Nothobranchius furzeri: one gene and its partner. The protein of the gene in region 1 interacts with the protein of each later gene in a pairwise test. Links are inferred from orthologs where the notes say so. Each region holds a gene or a part of one and is shown in the gene's direction. Other genes may lie near its edges.

Evidence for each region. The genes of interacting proteins can lie anywhere in the genome.
Region 2: the proteins of sergef (region 1) and dph3 interact in binary tests that used the Homo sapiens proteins (3 or more experiments, as listed by UniProt). The link is inferred for Nothobranchius furzeri from reciprocal best matches to the Homo sapiens genes SERGEF and DPH3.

The regions. Positions count from the first base shown.
Region 1 is NC_091744.1:64,859,295-64,866,512, reverse strand, and holds the end of sergef (secretion-regulating guanine nucleotide exchange factor), read left to right. Parts: intron 1-2,733; exon of another isoform or gene 2,734-2,857; coding exon of another isoform or gene 2,858-2,972; intron 2,973-3,188; coding exon of another isoform or gene 3,189-3,244; intron 3,245-3,911; coding exon 3,912-4,096; 3' UTR 4,097-4,786; downstream 4,787-7,218. Other genes in the region: kcnc1b (potassium voltage-gated channel subfamily C member 1b), read right to left, coding at 2,858-2,972. UniProt on the Homo sapiens protein: Probable guanine nucleotide exchange factor (GEF), which may be involved in the secretion process.
Region 2 is NC_091747.1:68,460,546-68,468,361, reverse strand, and holds dph3 (diphthamide biosynthesis protein 3), read left to right. Parts: upstream 1-2,960; 5' UTR 2,961-3,311; coding exon 3,312-3,419; intron 3,420-3,712; coding exon 3,713-3,787; intron 3,788-4,521; coding exon 4,522-4,590; 3' UTR 4,591-4,826; downstream 4,827-7,816.

The DNA.
Region 1 (7,218 bases):
TCGGAACCTCTAAACCTCACACACCAACTCAGGCTCCTTCCCCACCAGAGAGATGACATTCCATGTGCCAAGAGCCAGCTTCTGTAGCCGAGGATCAGACCGCCATGGTCCCCTCCCTCGACTATCACCTGTCACACACTGCACCCGACCCCTTTGGCCCCTCCCACGATGGTGAGCCCATGGGAATAATAATAATAATAATAATAATAATAATAATAATAATAATAATTAATGTTATTTTTTTAAACAATGATTGATCATTTAACCTAAATGTAGAGCTGGTTGATTAATCAAATTTTAATCCCAATGTGATATGGGTTTTGAACGATTAACAAAAGGATCCACTTATTTGCTCACCCTTTGTGAGTTATTTTTCCCAAAAGTGCCTAGCGAACAATTTAGTGATATTTCTGAGGACCCATAGCTACTTTCTGTAAAACTTTGTCATCTAAATTCCATGTGGATTAGCTAACAACACATCCTGTGCTACAGACTGTCCTTCCGGAAAGAGAATTAAGTACTAATGTGAAGCGTAACCACGTTACGTTGACTGACCAATCTTAAACCTTTCTTAGCGATCTAACTCACACCTTCATCTCCTCACGCTTAGACTACTGCAACTTGCTGTTCACTTTTCTGAACAAAACCTCCCTGAACCATCTACAGGAGGTTCACAATGCTTGTCTTGAGCTTCTGACTATATTGTCAAAGTACACCCACATCACCGCGCTTCTCCTCCAGCTTCACTGGCTGCCAGTCAACTTCAGGGTTCATTTCAAGATCCTGGTTCTGGTCTATAGGGCCTTACATGGACAAGCACCATCTTACATTGGTGATCTTGTCAGTCCCTACACCCCCAGCAGGTCCCTGAGGTCCAGTGACCAAAGCCTACTGGTTGTGCAGCACCAGGCTAAAGACCAAAGGTGACAGATCATCTGCTGCTGTGGCCCCCAGACTCTGGAACTCTCTCCCCCTGAGCCTGAGATCAGTGGACTTGGTGGTCTCCTTTAAAAAGCAGCTGAAAACTCATCTGTTCAAGCTGGTTTTTGGGTAACTTTCATCACCATGCTTTTTCTGCTACTAATACCTCTTTCTTATTCATGTTCTCTTTCCTTACATTTTTAATCACAATTTTTTTTCTTTATGATAACTTTCAATCTTTAAAAAAAAATCTTTTTTATTTTTGAAAAATTTGTTCTTGTGAAGCGCTTCATGTTTTTTATCGTGAGAGGCGCTATATAAAAGATTGTTTTCTTTCTTCTTTAAAAAAACTGTGTTCATAAGCAAAATAAATTCAATGTACAGCGAGCCATATCTGAAATGGATTCATTGTTGGGCTGCAAACTCTCATGCTATGAGCATAAGACACATTAGACTGTCTTCATGCGCTTTCACGCCACACCTATTTTGCAGACTGGAAAATAATACTTCATCTATTTGAGCGACACGTTGCATCGTGCTACTGCACACTAGATAATTATTATGCAGGAGGTTGTAGAAGTTCACTACAACATAAGATGTTTGTTTTTCTCTTTATTTTTATATTGTAAATGTTTGCACCGTGTATATGAACGTTAATTTAAGATTGTCGTAAATAATCAAAATCTAAATTTCAGTCAAAATAATTATAATTTTTGCTATAATCGAGCAGGCCTACTTCAATGTTAGAAAAGTAATGTTCTCATCTTATACTTTATCATACTTCCCAGCCTATTGGAGATCATAAATACTACCTGCACCATGGACCCTTCTGTAATTGACTGAGGTGAACGATTCTGTGTGGAGCATTACTGCAAACAAGATCAGTGTCTGAATGACTGAAGGCCATCATGGTAACAAACTGATAAAACATCATTAATGTTACGTATCTCATGTCTGGAAAGAGGTCCATTGGTTTCTGTAAGCGTAAGTGACTGAAATGCGAGATGTCGCTTTTGGTCTGACTGCTTAAAGAAATAATGAAGACGCATATCCAACTTTCACCACCTCGCCCATCTTATTCATCTGTAATGGGAATATCAAAGGCTTCAGAATTAAACCACTGTGTAATAAATTAATCTGCTGAGAAGTTTTAAGGTCCGCTTTTTGCTCTGTGGTTCTTCATCAAGAGTAATTAGTGTGGAGAGATGGATATCGCTGACAGATGATTCCCAGAACAAGGCTCTAAAGGAGCTAAATTACCACATTTACAGGAACCACTTTTCTTCAGTGGGATGATATGAGAGCAAGTTCAATCCACTTAAAAATGTAATAAATACACTCCAGTCATAAACGGTGATTAAAGACAGACACATCTGAGCTTCTGATCAGAATCCTGCTGGGGTTTTTCCATAGTTTCCATCTAGCAATTATGAGACACTTTGGAGTTAAAATTCTCACATTAAATTTTGAACACTGCTCCAGATTTTTACATCAGCATGAATAAAAATACCACAGATGAATACTAAAATGCAAGTGCAGACTTCCATCTAGAGAGAGAAACTTTTAACATTGCTGGTGCTACAAGCATACACGCCACTCGCCTTCCATCCTCTGATGACCTGTTAAACATAATGGACATGCAGGGAACTAATGATTGTCCATCATAACAGAAGAAGTCTGAAAGCACCATCTTGTGCTCTTTAATGTTCATTTTAAGGATGAGGAAGTGGCATGTGTGAACCTCCCATCACTTCGCTCCACTGTCACGCTCTCCTCTCTTTTCCTTTTCTCTCCTCTTGTCTCGACTGGTGGCAGGAGCAGTGAAATAGCAAAACAGGATTGGAAGCAAAGACCTGAGTGTTGCTATTTCTGGTGCTGAAGTAGGTCAGGCAGTAAAGAATACAGAACATTGAGCGCTGGTTATGATATCTGTTGCTCACTCGGCCTGTGCCCGTTCGCACCTGGGCGAGAGGTCCTCATGCGTGAAATTCATCTTGGATGGCCAGAGGTGGGAGATAGACCAAAGACTCTGTGGGCACAGCTCATCCAATCTGGGGAAACATTTTCATGTGAATACTTAAACTTACTGGGACAATGGAGGCACAAAACACACGAGGGTTCATTTACTTGTATTTATAGACTCATGCAAGTTTAGGCTATGGGGGGGGGTCACTGTTGTGCTGTTTATTGTCAGGAATTTTGACACCGGATTGGTTCACCAGGAAATGACTCGTGGTTTGAGATTTTTTTATCATTTTGTTGTGCAGAATATTGGACTGGCACTTTGTTGCCATGGAAACACCGATGTGTGGTATTATACTCGGTAAGTATGAATTAAGCACAGCACCAAAATGAGTCCCCCTGTGTTTTATCACGTCCAGATCACTAATAATAAAAGTCATGCCAGCTGAAGTCCACTTATGGAGCCACGCTGCGTCGTACACACAGAGCTAAAAGGGCTTCTGTGATGTGTGAGCTGTTTCAGGTTTTCACACTGACTCAAGCTGCTGGTGTGAAATCCTGGTGTTTAAACTGTTGAAAGAGTAAATTATTTTGTGGGTGACGAACTAGAGACACAGAACGACACTCGATGAATTAAGTGAAAACGTGGCACAAAGACACGCAACTACTGAATGAGGAAGATGAGTTACCCTTGAGAAAGCAAGTAAGCTCGCTTCTGTTGCCATGGAAATGGAACCTATTAGGTAACTGTGTTGCCATGGCACGTGTCTCCTCAGTGATGCAGACCTGACCACACCCACCAACAAGCTCACCAGCTGTGAGGAGCAGGAATGCTTCGTTGCCGGCCAAGTGTCGGTGTTGAGATCAGAGAAGCTCTGCGTGTGATTGTGTGGCTGCTGTTTTATTTATTTATTATTAATCTTTTTGTTCCCAGCCCTTCGGCTTGTTGCTAATTTCAGCCCGCATTCACACACCTCTGCCCCCTCTCATATGTCCTGTCACTGACCCGAGACCACTCTCCTTTTCAGGGGGGCGCCTTCTCTCGTGGGGTTGGAATGAACACGGAATGTGCGGCGACGGTTCACAGGCTGACGTCTATCCTCCTCAGCTCGTTCCTGACCTGAGACCTGCTCTTATTGGCTGCGGAGCTGGACATTCGATGGCAGTGTGCGCTGCGGCGACTGGTTTGAGACAGACTGTGGACTCCACATGAGAAGCGTTGCAGCACGAACAGTGCACAGAATCACAATCAGACCACAGAAACACAATGATTATGGGAATTAAGAAGCTCCTCATGCTGTCAGTTCATCTCCCTGTTCTTCCAACCCTGAGCTAGTTGTCACACTGTATGTGTCATAAATACTTTGGTGAGTTCAGTTAAAGCATGCGTTTGGCCACCTTTTTTTTTTTTTTTGCTGCTGATCAAGTCTCATAATGAAACTGTTGTGTTTTAAGACTAGACTGATACTAAAACATCATCTTCTAATATTTGTACAATATTATGTCACAGGAAATTGTCGGTCTCTGCTCCTATTCCTGATGTTTCTCTTTTTATTAATTTCATTGTCTAAACACACAAATCATGTTATCCTTTGTTCATACATTTGTGGGTTTGTAGCTTATATACTATTCATTTGTTTAATTTTGACTTTTAGTTGAACCTATTGACAACATTTGACCTAAAAATGCATGTTTCTAAGGAGAAGACATCAGCAGCACCAGCTGGAACTCCTAGCCCCGTGCCTAATGGGCCAAAGGCATTTAAAACCCTCAGGTCTGCATGCTTTAAGTTTTTGTTGCACATGTTTTGCATTTAAAATGTGGAAAATATAAACATCAGTTAACTTATTCTAAATACCCTTTGACCTTGGTTAGTTAAAATAAAACACTCACTGAAAGCTGATTAGTTCTGTTTTTTATTTGTTACTATTTATTGCACAAGTCTGAACTGTATTGGTTAAAAAAGACACACAAAAAAATCTCTGAACATCAAATCAATCAAAACGATCACCGAACACCTTATTAGGATAACTAACCACAAACTGCACTGTGTCCAAAACACACACTCACTAACATTTCACTAAACTGCACACATCAGTTGCATTGTAGTTTGTTTTCATCTTTGTTTTGTTCACGATTACAGCTGCTGTGTTTCCTTGTTTGTTTGTTTGTCTTTTTCTGTCTGTTGAACAAGACCAGCATCATGATCCCAGCTCTACTGGCAGATTTAAATCTGCTTTCACTAACTGCACACAGATCTAAGGAAGTTGTTGGCAGTGTGTTTGCAGTTGTTTGGTAAAAGTTGGTCCCTTCTCACAAACTTTTTCACATAAGCAATAAATCTGTTTGCAGCATTTGTGCTTAAAGGGCTTATTCACAATTTTGTGAAAAAACAATATTTACCCCCTTATAGATTTCTTCCATTTGTTTGTTTTGTCACACTTAAAGGTGCAATATGTAAGAATGACATCATGTGGCCAAATTTGGTTACTGCAGCCTATTTTCAAAACACACAGGGTGACTCACTTTCATTTTGTGAGTTTCGTGACTGTTGCCGGTTACGGCTCAGCGCCAGAAGACTCTGGATACCAAGCAAAGACGAATCATATGCAGTATATGGATAAATAGTTTGTCGTATCTGGTGTTAGCACTCTTGGGTGTTACTACACTTACTACACTGATTACCGTAGCTTGTCTCGGGGAATAATGGAAGTGTGGTTGTTTTCTGTTTTGCTTTTAGCTTGCAGTTTTATTTCTAAACAACTCATTAAAAGGAAGTAAAATGCCACAATTGACTCATTATTCATTTCATACATACATTTTACTGTAATATCGAGTTGTTGGTAATTGAAAAAGTAGCTAGAGATTTTTTTTAAGGCCAACTTCTTTTTTCTAATTCACCATTAGCATTGTTAGCTCAACATTAGTCTCTAGCCTGCTTCACCTGATTATAGAGTAAAACAAAAAGATGCCGTGACTTCTCAGGGGTACAAGACATAACTTCTGGGTTGCTTCTGTCTTTGGCTTAGGATCTTTGCAAAACATTGTAGAGTTTTGCTGGCCAGTGTCGAATAGCAAAAGAGCGTTAGCTCAGCAACCCCGCGGGCTCATAGATTGTAAACAGTGACCACGTCCCTCTTTGACCTTTTCAAAAGAAAATAAACCAACAACCCCCAGCTGGCTGTTTCATTATAACCTCATACCAACATGATTGAGACATGAGTTTGTTTTGTGATGTAAAATTATTACATATGTTATCTTTAAATGTTTAAGATCAGAAAACAAATTGCTATGTCAACAAAAATAACCTGAGTAAATAAAAATGCAGTTTTCAAATGTGGATTTCACATATCTAAGGGGGCAAACGGTACATATAACTGGCTGGTAACAACTTCATCAAGTGTGTATTATAACAGATGGCCTGTCACATCATTTTTCATTGCAGAAATGTAATTCAGCCTCACTGAAGTATTTTTCAGCTTGAATGGACTGGTTAAGGCAGTGCAACATCATTGTAAACGAACGTAGGTCTGAACTTTGACACTGCCTCTCCAACACCTTTAATTTGTTTGCTTTTTAATTCCATATTTGGTTCTTTTTAAAACACAGATAAGTTTTTCTTTACCTTGCTGACGTACGTTTTGTTTGCCGACTGCAAAACATCCTCAAAGCTGACGCTGATGGCGGCGTCACTTCCTACACCGTTTATCCGTGGGCAGCAGAGGACGTTGTCACCCTCTGCTTCCCGCTCTCCCCTCTCCGATGATGCAGTCCCATGAGCGATCCAATGAGTAAACTCCATCATCTCTGTTCATGGCCCCGCATCCACGTCTCCTTATCTCTATAGCTTCCTTTATCCATCTTTTGTATTTCTGTTGTTCGGTGTTTATGATCCTTGTGTTGTCCCAGTCCATTATATGGTTTTCTCTTGTGCAGTGATCTGTTACGGCTGACTTCTTTATTGTGCTTTCTGCTTCTTGTGTTGCTGCTTTTGTGTGTTTTCGACTTGCCTCTTTCTCGCACTCCTTTCTATGTTCTATTGTTCGTGTGTTGAGTTGGCGTCCGGTTTCTCCTATGTGTGTTTTATTGCAGAGTTTGCATGGGATTTCGTAAACGACTCCACATTTAAGTCCAGCTGGTATCTTGTCTTTTGGGTGTACTAGTCTGTTTCTAACTGTTGTGTATGGTGTAAACCAGTGATAACCCTACCATACATCAAAGGCATAACAGAAAAAATAATAGCAACAATGAAAAAACACAACATAAACACACCAACAAAACCATACACAACAGTTAGAAACAGACTAGTGCACCCGAAAGACAAGATACCAGCTG
Region 2 (7,816 bases), on another chromosome or scaffold:
CACAGTTGGCTGAGCGCCACACGGGCTGCTCCCGCTGAGGACTCAGGATCCCAGCCCCCTCCACCCCCCCCCCCCCACACCCCCCGAAGTCTCATGTTGTGAACTGTGACGTTCGTGCTTATATGTTGAGGTGTTTTTTTGCATAGTAAAGCAACTCCCTGCCGGGAGTAACTCTGGTCTGCCTTTTTCTCCCTCCCCCAACTCTCCTCATGTAATCCCCTCTTCATCTAACTGAAATAAGCGCCGTTATGGCTGCTCTCGTGGTCCGCCTGTATCTGTTCTGTCTATATTTGTGTGTGTAACCTTGGTCAGGCTGTTCTGTGAAGTCAAGTTCCTATGCTCTGGTTCGCTGGAGCACTGGCAATAAAGCTCTCTCTAAAGCTCTCTCTGATCTGTCCAACTTCTATTTAATGACAATGATAATAAATAAATTCCAGAAGTAAAGCTTCTTAACCCTCCCACTGTCCTAACGGGTGTGACCCCGCCAGGAAAGTTGACCATTGAGCAGGGCTGATGGTTTATCCCTTGAGGTCCACGTGGCAGGGGTGAGCACCACCTCACCCCTGCCACGTGGACCTCAAGAGATAAACCATCAATCCTGCTCAATGGTCAACTTTCCTCGCGGGCAGGGGCGGATTCAGAACTGAAGAAGATCCGGGGCTTAACACACGCGCACACACACATGACATGCACTAGTCATATTTGTCTTGTACCACATAATTTTTAATCTGAAGCTACATAATAAGCATTTTCAGGGCAGAGTATTGTTCCTGTTAGTGTTTAGTGTGAGATGATAGTAAATATTCCCTTTCTTTCTCCAACAACTTTACCTGATAAGCTAACTTTAGGCAAACCAGCAGCACAACAAATATTTTCAAATAAGACTCACAAACCTGAGTCAACACCAGTCTCATCAAAGCTGGGGTTCTGTCGCCGTACTTTTGGTCTAAAAAAACGTCCTTATGTCCATCTTCACTCATGCGTTTCAGGCAGAGAGTGTAGAAGAAGCCGGCTGCTGAAGGGCTTCTTCTTCAGTGGTGGAGGCTCAGGCAGGCTGTATACAAACTACTGCCAGCTGCTCCCTCTCTGTTGGGCTTTGGTACTGCATGTTACTTCCACGTTTCAGATCCGGGGCTTTTCATAAAACATTCAGGGCTTGAGCCCAAGTAGCCGGGCCTAACGCCGCCCCTTCTCGTGGGTGTCATGGTCTGAGGCAAGGCCGGATTAACCATATGGGCAGCTGGGCAATTGCCCAGGGCCCAAGAACTCTAGGGCAGCAAGGGCACGATTGGGCTCATCACCTCCAGGAAAGCAGAGTAGATCGAAGAAAAGTTGAGAAGAAAGAGATTAAGATGATTTTGAAATTTAGGCAGGAAGATGAAAATATCAGAGTCAGTCCAATAGCGTTGTCGGGGGAGTTGAAAAAGAAGATTGGAGATGTGGAGGTGGAGAAAACATTGAGGGATGGTAGCCTGTTGATAATTTGAAGAACAGAAATGCAAAGCAGTGCCTATTGACAATATATGTAAGAAAGTGGTGTGTGAGAAAAAAGTGTTAGGAGAAAACAGATTCACACGGGGAGTGATGTTGGGGAATCCGATTGAAGAAGATCTGGAAAAACTCAAAAGAAGTATTCAGGGAGGAGAGTTGAATAACATCAAACATTTGATGAGAACAGAGAATGGTCAGAGGATGGAGAGTAAATCCGTCATGGTTGGATGTTTGAGTTTCCCAGTCAGAGCGTACGTTCCGCCACCATTAAGGTGCTTCAAATTTCAGAGGTATGGTCACATTGCTGCAGCTTGCAAAGGGAAACTGAGGTGCCCTAAATGTGGTGGAGAACATACAGTAAATATGATAAATGCGAGGATAATGTGCAAGAGAAATGTTGCAACTGTGGAGGCCAACATAGAGTAACATACGGAGGTTGTGGAGTAAGGAAAAGAGCGGTGGAAGTTCAACAGATTAAATCAATCAGTAATGTGAGCTATGCAGAAACAGTGAAGGGAGCTCAAAAGGGAAATGGTGTCCCACAAATGCTAAAAGCAGCTGATGAAATGAGTCAAGGAGAGGTGAGTGAGACAAGACTGACAGCTGGTAAACTTGTCTTATTCATGGCTTATGTTATCAATTGCACAGATCAGGTGAAACACAAATCAGAGAAAATAAAAATAATTATAAGAGGAGCAGAAAATGTTCTTGCATTAAAAGATAATTCATTGGGAACATAACTAGAATATCAGGTAAAGCAGGAAGATCAACTGACAGAATGCCAGAAGTCTTTTAGCAAGTGTGCAAGAGTTCAAAGGACTTATTGAAGGACTAAATAAGAAGCCAGATTTATGTGTATAAGAAACATGGTTGAAGTCCATATAGGATTTTAGTATTAAAGGTTATGTTGGTGTAAGGAGGGATGGAAATGAGGGGAATTGAGGAGGACGTGTTACGTAGAAGAAATACTGTATAGATTAGTACCATCGACATATAAATATTGGACAATGGGTTTCCATATAAATATTGGACAATGGGTTTCCATAGACTCCAATAACACGTTTTGGAAGAGAAATGGGAAGTGGCCACCACCGCCATTTTGACCGTGTCACAGGTTCCGTCAAGCTCAGACGATTCCACAAAAGGGAAGAGAGGTGGAGCTGAGGGTGGGGCTGTAAGGCTGGGATCAACTGACGAAACCCGGTCGAACTAGCTACAAGCTAGCCTGAAGCTAACCCAGTGTTGGGAGTAACGACGTTTAAGTATAACAGCGTCCGGTCAAATGTTTGGATGGATTAGAAATTTTTTGTTAGATAGAAATATTCAAGTCAAAATTGGGAAAAGTTAGTCAGAAAAATATTTTATTGAGAACGGCACTCCTCAGGGGAGTATAGTGAGCCCTCTATTGTTCTCAATAATGATAAATGATGTATTTAAATCAACCCAGTAACAGCTACAGGTGGAAATGGGAGAGATGCCTTTGAAGTTAAGAAGAACTCAACTTATAAGTATGTAGTGGGCTAGCCTGAAGGGAAGTAATATGTCTCATCCAGTCCATCATGTATTAAAACTGTGCTGGGAAAAAGAAGAGAGGGACACAAAAAATGTTGGATGGAGAATGGAGGAAAAACTTGAAGACTTATGCTGTGGTATTTACAGTTTGAAGAAGAAGAAGGTTTCATTAGGCGTAATGACCATCTGGTGCGGCAGGTGGCACTATGCTACTTCGAAGGCAGCCGTAAAGCACCGCCGAAGAAGAAGGCTCGCTTGAAACATGGGGTTGTCCTGTAGCAGATAGTTTATGGTGTCTTCGGTGAAACATGTCAGTGTTTCATGATGAGGTGGAGATCGAGGACTTTGAGTTAGACGAGGAGACCGACACGTATTACTTCCCGTGTCCCTGCGGAGACCGCTTCAGCATAACCAAAGTGAGCTCACTGGCAGCTAACGGCTAACAGCTAGCTGCTGCACACAACACTAGAACCTGTCTAACCCGAACCAGCTGAAACGTTTTGCGGGATTATGTTACAACCCATTTGTTTTTATGTGCTTAAACATGATTGATAGTGAGTTTTGTCTTTATATGTAAAAAAAATCTATGTTTAAATTGTTGCTCGGCTGGAATTTCAGACCAGATGATCGTTGAGTCCGGTTGGAGGTTTGTAGTTTTGGGCAGAGCAGAACCATGAGTGGCGTGAGTCTGAACCTGTGTGTGTTTAAGGAGGACCTGGAGAACGGGGAGGAGGTGGCCATGTGTCCCAGCTGTTCCCTCATCATTAAAGTCATCTATGATAAGGTAGCTAACATCCCAACACCACCAAGCTGGTTTGGTACCAGAGCCTGACCCAGAACCGGTTCTTTGGCTTTCCAGCACCAAAGCGCCTGTTTCTTGGTTCCAAACCAGTGCTGCACCTGGCACCAACCCTTAGCTGGGTCAGAACTGTTGCTTGCTAAGAACCGCATGCACCATGTCACCTGATCACCTGGGTCCACCGTATCAGGGCAAAACAAATGTGTAGTGTGGCTTCATCTGGTTCAAGCTCAGTTCAGCTATCAGAAGAAGCAGCTCACCTAGGTGGGGCAACAGTGAGTCACAGGGGTGTTGAACGGAGGGGACAAGTGGCGACTGGAGGCTCGTACTTATTTGCTTTGTTAAATCCAGGTGTGTTATTCTATATGTCATAATAAAACACCTGGATGTGGATTAGTGTGCACACCTATGAAATGGACATCTGGACATAATTTACTAAACACTTAAAACAGTTTTTATTGTTAAAGGAACATCAGTAAAGATGTGTATAAGGAAGAATATACACAGGTGCCCTAGGTGAGATTACTCCTTGGCAGCCCCTCATCCCCACTCTGCACACACACACACACACACCCTTTTATCTCGGTGTGCCCCTCGCACAAACAGAGTTTAAGGACGGCAGCCATCTAAACAGTTCAGTTTAGCAACAAGAATGTCGGCGGTCTCACCTTATTGGTCAGCCTGCAGACAGACTGACCAAAACATTGTTTGTGTTTCAGGAGCTATTCATGTCAGGAGAAGTGATCGAGGCTCCGCCGGAGCTCAAACTGCAGCAGGCTCAGTCCTGAAACTGGACTTCAGTGTAAGCTCTAATCTCTGAGAAGATCCTGGTGTGTGCCGTGCCCTGCTGGGACAGGTCAGACTCATGCTGTGAATTAATGGATCGGCTGTTGGGAGTTCCTCGTCCAGGATCCAGAACCCACCCCCTAGGAATGGGTTCAGTTACCGCAGAGAAAGTTGGCATGTTCAGCTTCTCGTTGATGTGGATTTACTGACTATTTTATTAAATATTTATGTTCATGCCTAGTCTGACGGGTTTTTTCTTTGGTGCTGTTCAGCTTTACCTCCTCATCAGCTGTTTGTGCAATAAATAAAAGAATAGCTGTTAGACTTTATACATTCGTTTGTGTAAAACTCAACTCATAAAAATTTCTGATCTTCTGTCACAATCTTCTGTAAATGCTACCTGAACCCCAGGGCGTGTGCTGATGTGATGCTGATCATTTTCAGAAGATTTTAATGTGACTCAGCTAAAGCAGAAATCTGCTGCTTCAGGTGAAAATGGGCTCCTTTGATCTCTTTTCAGGTGATGGTATTTTCTCCTGTATCCTGTCAGGCTGTAAAGCCATCAGAATCCATGAACTGGTGGACAAGACTATAGTGCATGAATTTGTCTGGAGTCTGGATTACTGTAATTCATTACTCTCAGGAAGTCCACAGAATGTAGTTAAAAGTCTTCAGCTTGTCCAAAATGCTGCAGCTAGAGTTCTGATGAGAATTTAAAAGAGAGATCATATCTCTCCTGTCTTAGCTTCCCTACATTGGCTACCTGTTAAATTCAGAATAGATTTTAAGATCCTCCTCTTCTCACATATAAAGCTCTAAAGTGCATCCCAACAAATAAGACAACCGACACCCAAATCACATCTGTCAGCCAGAACCGGCCCGCCAGCAATAACTTTTCACCCAGCAAATTATTTTGTATTTTCACTATTTCTTAACTTTTGTTTTCTTATTTGACTCATTTATTAATTATAAGCAGTTTGGAAATGCTTTCTGAAAAAGTTATGAAATAATCAAGATTAGGTTAATAAATAAAACAGATTAGATTAATAAATAAAATGGATTACAGTAATAAATAAAATGGATTACAGTAATAAATAAAATTAGGTTACTAAAATGGATTAAAGTAATAAATAAGATGGATTACAGTAATAAATAAAATGGATTAGGTTACTAAATAAATTACAGTAATAAATAAAATGGATTAGGTTACTAAATAAGATGGATTACAGTAATAAATAAGATGGATTAGGTTACTAAATAAGGATTACAGTAATAAAAAAGATGGATTACAGTAATAAATAAAATGGATTAGGTTACTAAATAAAATGAATTACAATAATAAGTAAGATGGATTACAGTAATAAATAAAATGGATTACAGTAATAAATACAATGGATTAGGTTACTAAATAAGGTTTACAATAATAAATAAGATGGATTACAGTAATAAATAAGATGGATTAGGTTACTAAAATGGATTACAGTAATAAATAAAATGGATTAGGTTACTAAATAAGGATTACAGTAATAAATAAGAAGGATTACAGTAATAAATAAGATGGATTACAGTAATAAATAAAATGGATTAGGTTACTAAATAAGGATTACAGTAATAAATAAGAAGGATTACAGTAATAAATAAAATGGATTAGGTTACTAAATAAAATGGATTACAGTAATAAATAAGATGGATTAGGTTACTAAATAAGGATTACAGTAATAAATAGATGGATTACTGTAATAAATAAAATGGATTAGGTTACTAAAATGGATTACAGTAATAAATAAAATAGATTCGGTTACTAAAATCGATTACAGTAATAAATAAAATGGATTACAGTAATAAATAAAATGGATTAGGTTACTAAATAAGGATTACAGTAATAAATAGATGGATTACTGTAATAAATAAAATGGATTAGGTTACTAAAATGGATTACAGTAATAAATAAAATGGATTAGGTTACTAAAATGGATTACAGTAATAAATAAAATGGATTAGGTTACTAAATAAGATGGATTACAGTAATAAATAAAATGGATTACAGTAATAAATAAAATGGATTAGGTTACTAAATAATGATTACAGTAATAAATAGATGGATTACTGTAATAAATAAAATGGATTAGGTTACTAAAATGGATTACAGTAATAAATAAAATGGATTAGGTTACTAAATAAGATGGATTACAGTAATAAATAAAATGGATTACAGTAATAAATAAAATGGATTAGGTTACTAAATAAGGATTACAGTAATAAATAAGATGGATTACAGTAATAAATAAAATGGATTACAGTAATAAGATGGATGGATAAAGGATTTACCTTGTGAAGGAGATTTTCAACATTCATAAAACCAGATAAACAATGTATAGAAGGTAGCAGCAGCAATGGAACAGCAGTTTCTAATTATTTTATAAACATAAAACAATTAACAGACTGAATAATGTACAAGTCTAGGTTTTCTTTGCAACAGTTACAGATGAAAGGTGATCCCACCCACCCACCGTAGCCTCGTCATCTCTAAGCCAAGTTAGACAGCTAATAAATACAGAAACATCCACAAACAGCCATTTACACAACAACTGGGCTGTCGTAAAGTCGTTATTGGTTTTGTAGAACCACATAAAATATCGATTGTGGTCTCAACCTGAATAACATGCAGATAGCCTAGGCGGGACACATGGCTCACAATTAAGCCACTTTCAAAAGCAAAAGCGTTACTTTCAACATGTGCAAGTATGTTGTCTCAAGCCCGTGTGTTCTAAGGTTTGTAACAAGGGAAACCGCTTGTAAATCCGTTAAAATTTCATCGAGTTAAGAGTGTTTTTGTTAAAGCTGATCACTCACCTTTCAGCTGCTACCAGTGAGAGCGGAGGAATCTGTTGCCCGAGGTAAGATGGCCGCCTGGTCGACTCCCGCTGTCGCCATCTAGTGTTTATATATACATATCTATGGTGTAATGACACAAAACAGGAAGTAACATTTTTGATTTTCAAAGTAAAAAACATACTCATCAACATAGAGGAGAAAAAAAAGGCCTAACCTCTTAAAATACAAATATATACGAATTTATAACATAAGTTTTAAAAATATTTTTATAACAGGAACACTTTGCATTAAAAAGATATAAAGTACATATTTGTAGGCTACTAAGTGCTTTCCTTTTAAATGTGCTACTTCCGGTCAGATGCACAGACAGAAGCTAGTCGCTCGGTAGCTAGC